3 linked regions of the Arabidopsis thaliana genome follow. The protein of the gene in region 1 interacts with the protein of each later gene in a pairwise test. Each region holds a gene or a part of one and is shown in the gene's direction. Other genes may lie near its edges. The genes, in order: NIMIN1, AT2G43220 and AT1G24230.

Region 1 (3,173 bases):
TAATATCATATATTTTTAAATCATCTTTACAATAAAAGTTTTTACTTTAACTAAAATATAAGCCTACCTGCGGTATACTGCAGATTAATCTCTAGATTATAGGGCTTATTGAATCTAAAGACGGGTCATCAAAGATTTCTTAAACTGAAGCAAAATATACTGAATATTCAAATATCTATATGTTACCAACTTATAAACAAATAAGTCAATTTAATATTTTATATATGAAATCAATTAAATCTTAATCACATAAAAATTAGCACAAAAAAAAAGTATTCAACAATTAAAAAATTATCAAATCTCTGTGTTATATAAGTTTTGATACTATATTTGAATAAAGTGTAATATACCTTTTTAATTTGTATTCTTTAACTAATTTAAGCTAACTAATATATTTGCTAATCTTATATCTATCAAAACCGACTATCGTTTCTTATCTCTATAGTATTTTTGCAAGAATGTTTTGGTGGATTTGGATAAAAATGCATTCAGGTCATATGGTACATTCCCCTATTAAATAAATATGGTGCACTCTTATGTTATTAGCTAAAATGTTTAGATTATAATTCAGAGTCAACATGGAGGGACGAGTTTTTGAATCAACATTAATAAAAAAGTAAAATATAATTAATCCACCGTTTCAATATGGGTTAAATCATTAATTTTAAGACCACTAATATTAAACATATCAAATCATCCTAATTTAGAAAAAATTATATAAAACCAAAAATGTTATGTGGTATGTATAATGTTACTATATATAAAATTAAACTATAAAATATAAATGTATTAGAGAATGATACAATTTGCAAAACTTTTATATATAAAAAATAATTCTTAAATTTTAAAAATTACTACTTTAAAAAAAAATCATGGGACGCCTAAAGAAATTACAGAACGTGTTTTATTTTGGAATTGGGTTATATGGTGGATGTATTTGAATCAATATTTATAAAATTTTAAAATATTATTAATATGCTGTTTTAATAGGGGTCAAAACTTCAGTTTTTTTAACAATTGTCTCATGAATTCGTGGTATAGCGTTACTTAATAACAATTATAAACTGTAAAATATAAATATTTTATAAAAATAAAATTTGCAAGTTTTAATATATATTATTTTTAAAAATAAATCGTCCCGCGATATACCGCGGGTTAAAATCTAGTTTCTTTTTGTTTATGTAACATCAATAGAGGTAATCTAATTACCATTCATTTAAAATACCAAAAATAGGGGAAAAAATGTTCTTCGTTGGAATCCAATTGTTCCACACAAATTTCACATATACAAATTAATTTAATTTACATACAAGTGGCCGACAATATGAGATTTTATTCGACAAATCTTTTATATAACCTCATCATTCACAATTTAATAGTAAAATAGTACGTTAATATATCAACCTTTTCAAGCATTATGGTATTCTCCATCCTTAGATTCAAAAACATATGCCTGAAATATTAGATCTAACGGTTGATAGTAATAGAGTGCTGTACACTCGGATCTACTAGAATATCTCTCCAAGACCAACCACGAGTAAAGTAAACGCATCAAGTCAAGTTTTTGATGATTAGAGTCTTTCTTTATTTCAAAAGTATATCCAAGTAGATTAGTGTTGTATAGATTACGTCATCATTGTGACATCATCTCGTAACCGCTTCATGTCACGTTGTCATCCCAAACACATCATCATCTGACGTAATTTTAACGTTGATATCTCCGCGTTCTTTTACTCTTTTACCCCTGGTCCCTTTTTTAACAATTATAAAAATTATGATTACTATTTTGAATTTACAGGGAACCAAAAAACCCATTTATAAAGTTTCGAAATTAAATATCCTAACTAACTTGGAAAAATATCTCCAATTTTCGTTTTTTGTGGTTTAAATTGTAACTAGGAAACTAAAAGGACTAAAGAGTAAAAGAGGTGGGGACAGGGTGTTTTAGTCTTTTTCTAAGAAGTTTCGTGATGACTAATTTTTTTCCTTTAAAAGAAAGTCATCAGACGAAAAGGATTATTTGCCTTCTTCACTCTCCAAAATCAATCACTTTCTCTAAATGTATCCTAAACAATTTAGTTTATACAATTATTCCCTAGAGACCATGAGCAAGGATGAGAATGTGGAGAGCAAAGAGACGATCAGGGTTGATAAGAGAGTAAGAGAAGACGAAGAAGAGGAAGAAGAGAAGAAGATTGATACGTTCTTTAAGCTTATCAAACACTATCAAGAAGCACGGAAACGTAGACGAGAAGAGTTAGCTGAAAATTCTGGCGTCGTGAGGAGGAAATCTAACGGCGGAGAAAGGTCCGGTATAGTAGTTCCGGCGTTTCAGCCGGAGGATTTCTCTCAGTGTCGTACGGGTTTGAAGCCGCCATTGATGTTTGTTTCGGATCACAAGGAAGAAAATACAAAGGTGGAACAAGAAGAAGATCAAACAGAAGAGCGAAACGAAGACAAGGCTTTAGATCTTAATCTTGCATTGTAGTAGCAATTAGTTTTAATCTATTTTTAATTGTCCATGTTTCATTTGTTAGCGTTGTGATTATTAAATCCTTCATTTAACTAAAATGTCCGATAATTAACTTTAAAATGAATAAACTCAAAAGAATCGTGAGGCAAAACATCCTGTCAGATGGGATTGATTCGGTAAACCGTAATTCTTTAGAGCAAAACCAAAACCAATAAAATTTATCATTCTGTAAGAATTGAATATTGCAAAGTTTGTTTAAATTTTATGTGTTGTATAATTATCTGTTTAAGAAGATCATTACTTTAAACCTTTTTTGCTGACCAGATTTGTTATCTAGTCAAATATAAAGATTATAACAAATACGCAACTAGTTGCATAAACAAATATGAATCGGACAACTAATAATCCAAAAGTCAACCAGATGACTTTTGATTGTGATTCCTCGGATCTTGAAACAGACTAGACAACTCTGAACTCTTAAGCTTTAACCACCACTTGACTTTGAAAAACTCTCTCAAGGACTCTCCTTGTGATTCATATTTTCCAAAGCCAAAAAAAGTCAACTTCGTTGCAAGAACCAGAAAAAAATGGGGACGACTCTGGGAAAGCCATTTGCCGGTTTTTTTCACCAAGAAGAAGCGAGGATCGTGTTGTTTGGTCTCGGCGGTACCGGAAAATCATCAATAATGCACAAATTCAA
Region 2 (4,404 bases), on another chromosome or scaffold:
GTTCGATCTTCTGTTGATAGAAAAAGGAAACAGGGAACTGTGATAAATGAAGAGGATAGTGGTGTAGGTGTTAGTGGAAGGGACATTAATCTAACAAAATCTGTCGATACAAAAGAGACCATGAAGCCAAAGGATGAAGGAGGAGAGGAAGAGGATGGAGAAAAATCCAAAAAAGCATCTGACGTTCATTTAAACATTCGATTACCTGATGGTAGTAGCCTTCAGGAGAAGTTTTCTGTGACAAGTATATTGAGAATGGTCAAGGATTATGTGAACAGTAATCAAACAATCGGACTGGGTGCTTATGATCTTGCGGTTCCTTACCCACGTAAGGTGTATACTGACCAAGGTACGTAAAATCTACAATGCATCCAATAGATTTTTATTTTTATTTGGTAAAGAACATTTTACCTTAAAACCAGCTTCATCTTGATCGAAGATGATGTTTTCTGCCATTTAGGTTTTTTTTTTTTTTTTTTCTGGTCAGTTTGGACTAGTGTAGTAGATACATAACTCCATTACTCTTAATCTCTGCAGATCTGGATAAGTCTCTATCCGAGTTGAGATTGTTCGATAGACAAGCACTTGTAGTAGTTCCGCGAAAAAGAGCAACCGTCTATCAAAGAGGAACATCTTACTCGGAGTCTAACAACAACACAGACCCTAATAGTGGCGGTTACTTTGCTTATGTTAGAAGAGTACTGTCTTATGCAAACCCGTTTTCATATTTTGGCGGTGGTACTGCCAACGCATCAAGCTCTGTTCCAGAACGTCAAACAAGTATGCGGGAATATGATGAGTTTATAAAATCCATTCTAATGCAGAAAGTCGTGTAATTGCTAATCTGATTCTCTCTTTTTCTATCTATAGGACCAAATACGGAGGTGAGAAACAATCTGGGGCAAGTAGGGACGTCCTTTCAAGATCCATCAGAAGGTAGGAGCAACGTTAGGAATAGGAGACCAACCACTTCTCGGATTGGAAGTAACATCCATACGTTGAATCACAATGAAGATGAGGCTCCGTTTGGTGATGGAAACGCTTTTTGGAACGGAAACTCCACACAGTACGGTGGTGGAAGCGGTGGAGACAGTAATGATAGACGATGAAATAAGAGAAGTTGAAATCTGTGTGGATAGATACAGAAACAGCTCGGGTGTTTACTTTTTATACTTGACTCTTTATGAACCATTTAAGAGACCAGCTGCAAAATGTATCCTGATGCGTTTCCGTTTTTTCGGTTGCTCGTATTAAATTTAAATCTAAAAAAACTAGCAATTTCTGTTTGATTAAATTCGGTTCTAGAAATTAATTAGTGTCGTTTGATTAACTTCGGTTCCAATCATAACAAAAATATTAGAGTTAAATGGTTGCTTAAATATAAGAATCTGTATATTCTTTTCTATGCAAGTGAAGACTTCATTGAACTGTGAAAAGGCGTTCACTGACAGCTTCTTGTTCTCCTAGCGGTTTCCCTTGTGCTCATCCTCACACCTTCCAAAATATTATCAACTCGGATAACAAAACATATATATGTGATCAACCAGACAATTTTTTAATATATATTTCTATAGTCAACGATGAGTACGCATTTTAATAATCCGGTGAAAGATTAGTCGGACTAACTAAATAATTTTTTTGACATATAATAAACACTTGGACCCCCCAAATTGAGCCTTAAGAAAAGACTAAACCAGTTCTATTAGTTGCGTACAACTAACGATGATCAACTTGAGTGATTTATATCGGAGATCGTGGGTAGTGATACGGGTCAACAATATAAGGATTTAGAGATCAATTAGGAATTGAAGTTAAACCTTTTCAATTTTCTTAAAGTTCCCTGATCCTTATTCATTCATCGTATCCACAACCATTCTTAACATTGCCCATGGCTAAGACGCTGGACCTCTTTTGGCACGAACATCCTTTATATGAAAAATATCGTATGTTCACTTGCCAAGAGTGCCATAGGAGTGCTATACCCTTCTTTGAAGTTTTTTATGGATGCTTCAGATGCAATATAAAATGGCATCCCTATTGCGTGCCAAGGTCAACGAAGAATATTAACCACCCTTGTCACCCGAACCATCCCCTAGAGGTTCTCCTCCAAGGGCCACCTAGTTACTCTGACGAGAAGTGCAGCCTCTGTCAACGGAAACTCTCCAACTTCGTTTACCATTGTAAGTTATGCAATTTCAGCATAGATATGGAATGCGGAAACAGGCCCCCGCCCCACAAAGTGGATCATCCAAAGTGCCACGAGCATGCACTCACCCTCATGGGAAGGGAAGTATCCTTCACTTGCAATGCTTGTGGTACGCATGGTGAACGGAACCCTTATGTATGCCTACCATGCTCTGTCATGTTTCATTATGATTGTATTGATCTACCACACGTCATCAACATCAATCGTCATGATCATCGCATTTCACATTCATATCCTCTCAAACGTGGGAATTGGGTATGTGAAATCTGTCGTCAAGATATCAACACCACGTACGGAGGCTATTCATGCAACAAATGTCCAGATTTTTTTGTTCATTCAAAATGTGCAACTAGAAAAGACGTGTGGGATGGGACCGAACTCGAAGGGATACCTGAGGAAGTAGTAGACGTTGCGCCATTTGAAGTGATCGAGGAAGGGGTAATTTATCATTTCTCCCACGAGAAACATAACTTATTCCTTATTGAGGATGTTTTTATAGATGGTGCTGAAGACATGCATTGTGAAGCTTGCGCCCGTCCAGTCTCTTCTGAGAAGCACTACAAGTGCGTGGAATGCAAGTTTATTCTTCACGAAGAGTGTGCGAATCTTCCTCTTACGAAACGACATGGACTTTCCACAGGTATATTTTATCTTCGCTTCGGGAAGGATTTTAGCGAACAAAATTTCAGTTGTGATGCTTGCAATAGAGATGGAAGGGGTTTTAGCTACAAGGATGAAGAGGGTGTGGTACTCGATGTGTTGTGTGCGTCTCTCTCTTTCTTCAAGCACCCCAAACTTCATCCTCACACGTTATTTCTAACCACAATAGATCGTGGTACTTGCTTAGCTTGCGGTGAGAATAAACTCAATGTGCTGCGTTGTGTTGATTGTGATTATTCTTTGGATTACAAATGCGCCACTCTACCATTAGTCATAAAGCATAGGTGTGATACACATTATTTAGTTTTGCGCTCTGGGGAGGAGGCGCCTGAAGGTAAATATTGGTGTGAAATCTGTGAAGCCGAAACCAATCCTGAAAGATGGTTCTATACATGCGATGATTGTGGGGTCGTGTGCCATATTGAATGCGTAACCGGGGACTTTTTGAACATAAAACCTGGAATAATAATGAAGAACAGGGAGAATAAGTTTGAAGTGGGTTTCAACGATCACGATTCTAGACCAAAATGCACTGATTGTGGCTCTCGTTGTAGGTTCCCTAGGTTTTTCAAGGTTACTAGAAAAAATATTGAGTACTACTATTGCTCAAAAGCTTGTTTTCAGAATGCGAAATTCTGAATGCCTGAAGGAAGGCGAAAGGAAGGATTTGGAAACATAAAAAGAATATGGGTTTTTACAGATGGAGGCTGTGTAATGTTTTTCAATTATTTTCAGATAAACTTGTTTTCTATATTTGGATTTATTGTTGGTTTGCTCATTCAGTTCATAAAACTATTTATGAGAAAGAGAGAAAGAGAGAGAGAGAGACTTTGAAGGTAATTATTCTTCACACCTTTTATTATAATTCACCAAAATTGGGATGTTTGTTCTATTCTTGATCACACGCCTCTCTGTCGCTTCCTTTTGACGTTTTCTTTCTTTTCTTAGCTTTTTCTTTTATCTTTTGTGTTTTCTGTCTTTTCTTTTCCGTAGTTATTTGGGATTCCAAATTTTTTTCATTCCTAAATTTCTCCACGAGCTCATCACCTCCTTTCGTCTCTGCCTCTCATTTGTCTACAAACATTTTTTCCTTTTGATTCGTCTCTCTGGTTTATTGCTCGTTGATCGTTTGTTTCTAAATTGCATTCTGATTTCTGATGGATCGTGATTTTCATCGTCGTGGTCAAGTGGTAAGCATTACACGCAAACACAGCTTTGATCATTAAAAATGTCATCTTATTTAAATCATGTCTTGAGATCACGTAATGGTCTTAGGTCAATCAAGATCAACGCGCAACAAATTCTAATGTTTTTACAAAATTTGAAAATACTTATCTACAAATGTATTTATAAAGAAACCTAATTTGCCTTTGTGTTGATCATGATAGACAATTGTTGTTATTAGCCTGTTGATTTGAAGGCAGAGTCCTCTGTTTTCCTGCAACATGTTAGAACAGCTCATTTATGTGTTTTGGTGAAAACGCAGGCGAATGATCGTACACAAAGCAACTTTGTTCGATTGGATAAACCGAGAGCTG
Region 3 (3,635 bases), 8.1 Mb from region 1:
ATGTGAAATCATAAAACTTAAGTGTCAAAGCTGAAAAATAAGTAACAAGAGCACGAAGTTGGTTCCTTTATATCTACATCTCTTGCAAGTAAAACAACAAAGAGCTTAAAAAGAAAAACAAGCAACAAAGCTTTAGATCATTGATTAAGTTCATTTTCTATTTAGTGATCTCTGAGCTTTTGGAAGATGAATTCAGTGGAATCTGAAGCTAGGAGAGTGACTACACTCATCAGTAATCAGCGAGACCAACCCAAGATCAAAGTTTTCGTTTTTCTTACATTCCTAGCAATTTTCAAACCAATTTAGACATAAGATCTCTATTACCAACCAAAACCTCGTCTACATTTCTACAAATCCACACGAAGTAAAAAACAATCTTAAACCAAAGACAGAGAAGGACAATGGCTTACAGGTACTACTGCCAAAGAGGAAAAGCCGGCATTTTTCAACGAGCTAATGAGATATGTCGCAGCTCTAGTACTAGGGAAAGAATCAAAGCCTAGCTTCCTCGATTCATTAGCAGACCAGCTTCCACAAGAAGAAGAAGTGAAAGGAAGAGTGTTGGAGATGGAGAAACGATGCCTCTGAAGCAACCTTGTACTGCCACGAATCAATTGCATTTCTCCGCAAAAGGAATCGATCTATGCGATCACAAATATCCAAAAGCTTTCAGAGATTTTGAGAAAAACAAATCCCTTGTCATTGCTCCTTCAGGTTTCTTTATTTTTGTTTTGGTAATTTGCATATATACCCCTGATATTTTTTGCTTTTATCAAATACATCCTTTCTTTTTTCTTTGACATCTTCTTGCTAGAAAGAGTTTAGTGTGATGCTTATTGTATAGAGAACAGAACATCATTACATACATGCACTTACAATAAAACTCTTGTCTATCCATGTAGAAATCATAATCTAAAATAATTCAAAACAAAATCGATATGACCTCATATGAAAACCTCAATGTTAACAAAAAAAAAACATTGAGGTGAAAAGTGATTGTATTGTTTCATATATTATAGAGATTTGAATTCAGGTCGATTCTTCTTCTGGCATGTACATATATGATTTTTGGTTTGGGGTCATATTTGTTAGAAACCGAGAGGCGAGAGTGTAAGCACTCAAAAGTCAAAGCAGAGTTCAACGTATAGACGAAAACAGAGAGAAACAGAGCAAACCAAATAAAGATCAAGTAAATCTAATGACAACAAATATGTTTCCTAAATTATATAAATTACGAATTTATATAAGAATTTACCAAGGATTAAAATTAATACAAATATCACATCATCATCGTCTTTGATATATAGAAATCTTTATAAATTTATGTTTCAATTTTCTCTTACAAATTATAGTTTTACAACTACAACAAAAATTGAAGTCAAGTATGAATATATGATAATCCCTAGTATAAATATAGACTCGTGAACAAAAACTCTAAAAAAAGTCTCTGAAGTTTTACTTTGCTTCTAGAAATCTTGAACTCCCTTACTCTGCGAAGAAGACGAAGACGAAGCTGCTTCTTGTTCATTGTCGTCTTTGGTCTGCTTATATATCGGTAACATACTTGCTTCCTCATTCGATTGAACATAGTTTCGCTCACCGGAAGATTAGGGTTACGATCATCTTCTCCTTCCATCATCAGATACGATTAGGTTAAAAGGCGCTCGAGCAATTTTCTAGTTTCTTGCTCATCCTTCTTGGTTTTGTTTTCTTTTCTTTCTACTCGAGATTGATTCTGGATCTTCTTAAGGATCCTGTTGCGATGAATTTGACATGATTCTTCTAATTCGGCTATTGTGTTGTTTGGTGGATTAAGTTTCTTGAGGAATAAGATTTGTATTTATGCACTCTATTTTCTGTTTCTTCAATGAGTTGAGACCTCTTCAATCTTTATGGATTAGGCCAATTTTAGACCATGGTTGGAGGAAGCTTATCACCGGCGTTTACTATTGATGAAGCGACGTCATACATCAATGCTGTGAAGGAAGCATTTGGGGCTGATCAACCTGCAAAATATCGAGAGTTTCTCGACATCATGCTGGATTTAAGAGCTAATAGGTATGTTTGGTTTGCTCTTAAACAGTCTACACATGTGAGAGATTGATTCTCATGTTATTTTTCTCTTTGTAGAGTCGATTTAGCTACCGTCGTTCCAAGGATGCGGGAACTCTTGAAAGATCACGTGAATCTGCTACTTCGTTTCAATGCCTTCCTTCCAGCTGAGGCTAAGGAAACATTTCATGATGTACGTTCATACATCTATTCTTTGAAGGAATCATTTCGTGATGAACCTGCAAAATATGCTCAGTTTCTCGAGATCTTGAATGATTATAGCGCCCGTAGGTATGAATTATTTTCTCCATGTTATATTTGATTTTCTCCTAATTTCTGCTTACAAAACAACACACACATGTGAACTGAACTGATTCTGATGTTACTAAGTCTCTCTTTGTAGAGTCGATGCTCCTAGTGCCGTTGCAAGGATGACGGAACTCATGAAAGACCACCGGAATCTGGTTCTTGGTTTCAGTGTCTTGCTCTCAACTGGAGATACAAAAACCACCCCTCTCGAAGCTGAGCCTGATAATAACAAAAGAATACGTGTAGCAAATTTTATCAGCAAGCTTAAGGTATATACAGGATGCTAAATGGGTAAACTAATCTATTTTTGGTGTTTCCTCTACGCTAACTTGTGATTTAAGATAACAAATTCATCGATGTACAGGCAAGGTTCCAGGGGAATGATGGCCATGTATATGAGTCATTTCTCGAGATATTGACAATGTACCAACAAGGAAACAAATCCGTAAATGACTTGTACCAGGAGGTAGGGTTCTTGGTGGGACATTTTGTGTGTTGCACTTCTTAGCTCTTTGGTTTGATTAGCTTTGTTATCTTTGCTTGCAGGTTGTTGCACTTCTTCAGGGTCATGAAGATTTAGTCATGGAGTTTTCAAACGTTTTCAAGAGAACCACTGGTCCATCAGGGTCAAAATCTGCTAGAGATAGATGAGTACATTATAGAAGACTGTCTCTGCTTTATTTTAGGATGCTTGGAATATAATGTTTGGGGTACAAGAGACAAAAAGAGTACTTCTTTCTAACGAGAAGTGAGTGTATAGTTATCATTTGTAGACATTTGAGATTAGTTTGATTCTTACTCATATGCTTCTATATTTGAGATCAATGAGATGCATAATGGTTTGGGTAAATATAAGAGACTAAAACGAGAGTGTATGATTTCGTTTGTTAAATCTTACCAAGAAGACATGAGATTTTGGGGTCATCTTAGTCTAATGTAGAAACAAAAAGAGAGAGGAACAGAGCCTTTACTCAAACCTATATATATGGCCAAAAATTACAGAGCAAACAAAAATCAAGTAAATCTAATCACAACAAATCAAATAATTAGAAGTCAATCGGATAATTCAAGTAAATTTTATCATGATTTCGTTCAAATATGATTTTAATCATTCACACTTTTTATTGAAAATATTTTAAACATCTAATTCAAACTTCTTTTGTAAATTATCCACGAAAAATTAGTTTTGGAATATATCCGTAAAAATATTTACAATAATATCCTCCATTGGTTTTAAACTAAAATTAAAAGAAATTATTTTATTTGAGTAGTCA

The links.
Region 2: the proteins of NIMIN1 (region 1) and AT2G43220 interact in a two-hybrid assay, tested with the Arabidopsis thaliana proteins (one large-scale study listed by BioGRID).
Region 3: the proteins of NIMIN1 (region 1) and AT1G24230 interact in a two-hybrid assay, tested with the Arabidopsis thaliana proteins (one large-scale study listed by BioGRID).

The regions. Positions count from the first base shown.
Region 1 is NC_003070.9:497,367-500,539, reverse strand, and holds NIMIN1 (NIM1-interacting 1), read left to right. Parts: upstream 1-2,000; 5' UTR 2,001-2,059; coding exon 2,060-2,488; 3' UTR 2,489-2,623; downstream 2,624-3,173. Other genes in the region: ARFD1A (ADP-ribosylation factor D1A), read left to right, coding at 3,061-3,173.
Region 2 is NC_003071.7:17,962,452-17,966,855, forward strand, and holds AT2G43220 (Cysteine/Histidine-rich C1 domain family protein), read left to right. Parts: upstream 1-1,767; 5' UTR 1,768-1,888; coding exon 1,889-3,505; 3' UTR 3,506-3,760; downstream 3,761-4,404. Other genes in the region: AT2G43210 (Ubiquitin-like superfamily protein), read left to right, coding at 1-349, 538-780, 871-1,109; AT2G43230 (Protein kinase superfamily protein), read left to right, coding at 4,024-4,056, 4,142-4,209, 4,319-4,404.
Region 3 is NC_003070.9:8,583,416-8,587,050, reverse strand, and holds AT1G24230 (Paired amphipathic helix (PAH2) superfamily protein), read left to right. Parts: upstream 1-1,915; coding exon 1,916-2,058; intron 2,059-2,130; coding exon 2,131-2,343; intron 2,344-2,455; coding exon 2,456-2,630; intron 2,631-2,725; coding exon 2,726-2,827; intron 2,828-2,907; coding exon 2,908-3,012; downstream 3,013-3,635. Other genes in the region: AT1G24240 (Ribosomal protein L19 family protein), read right to left, coding at 411-620.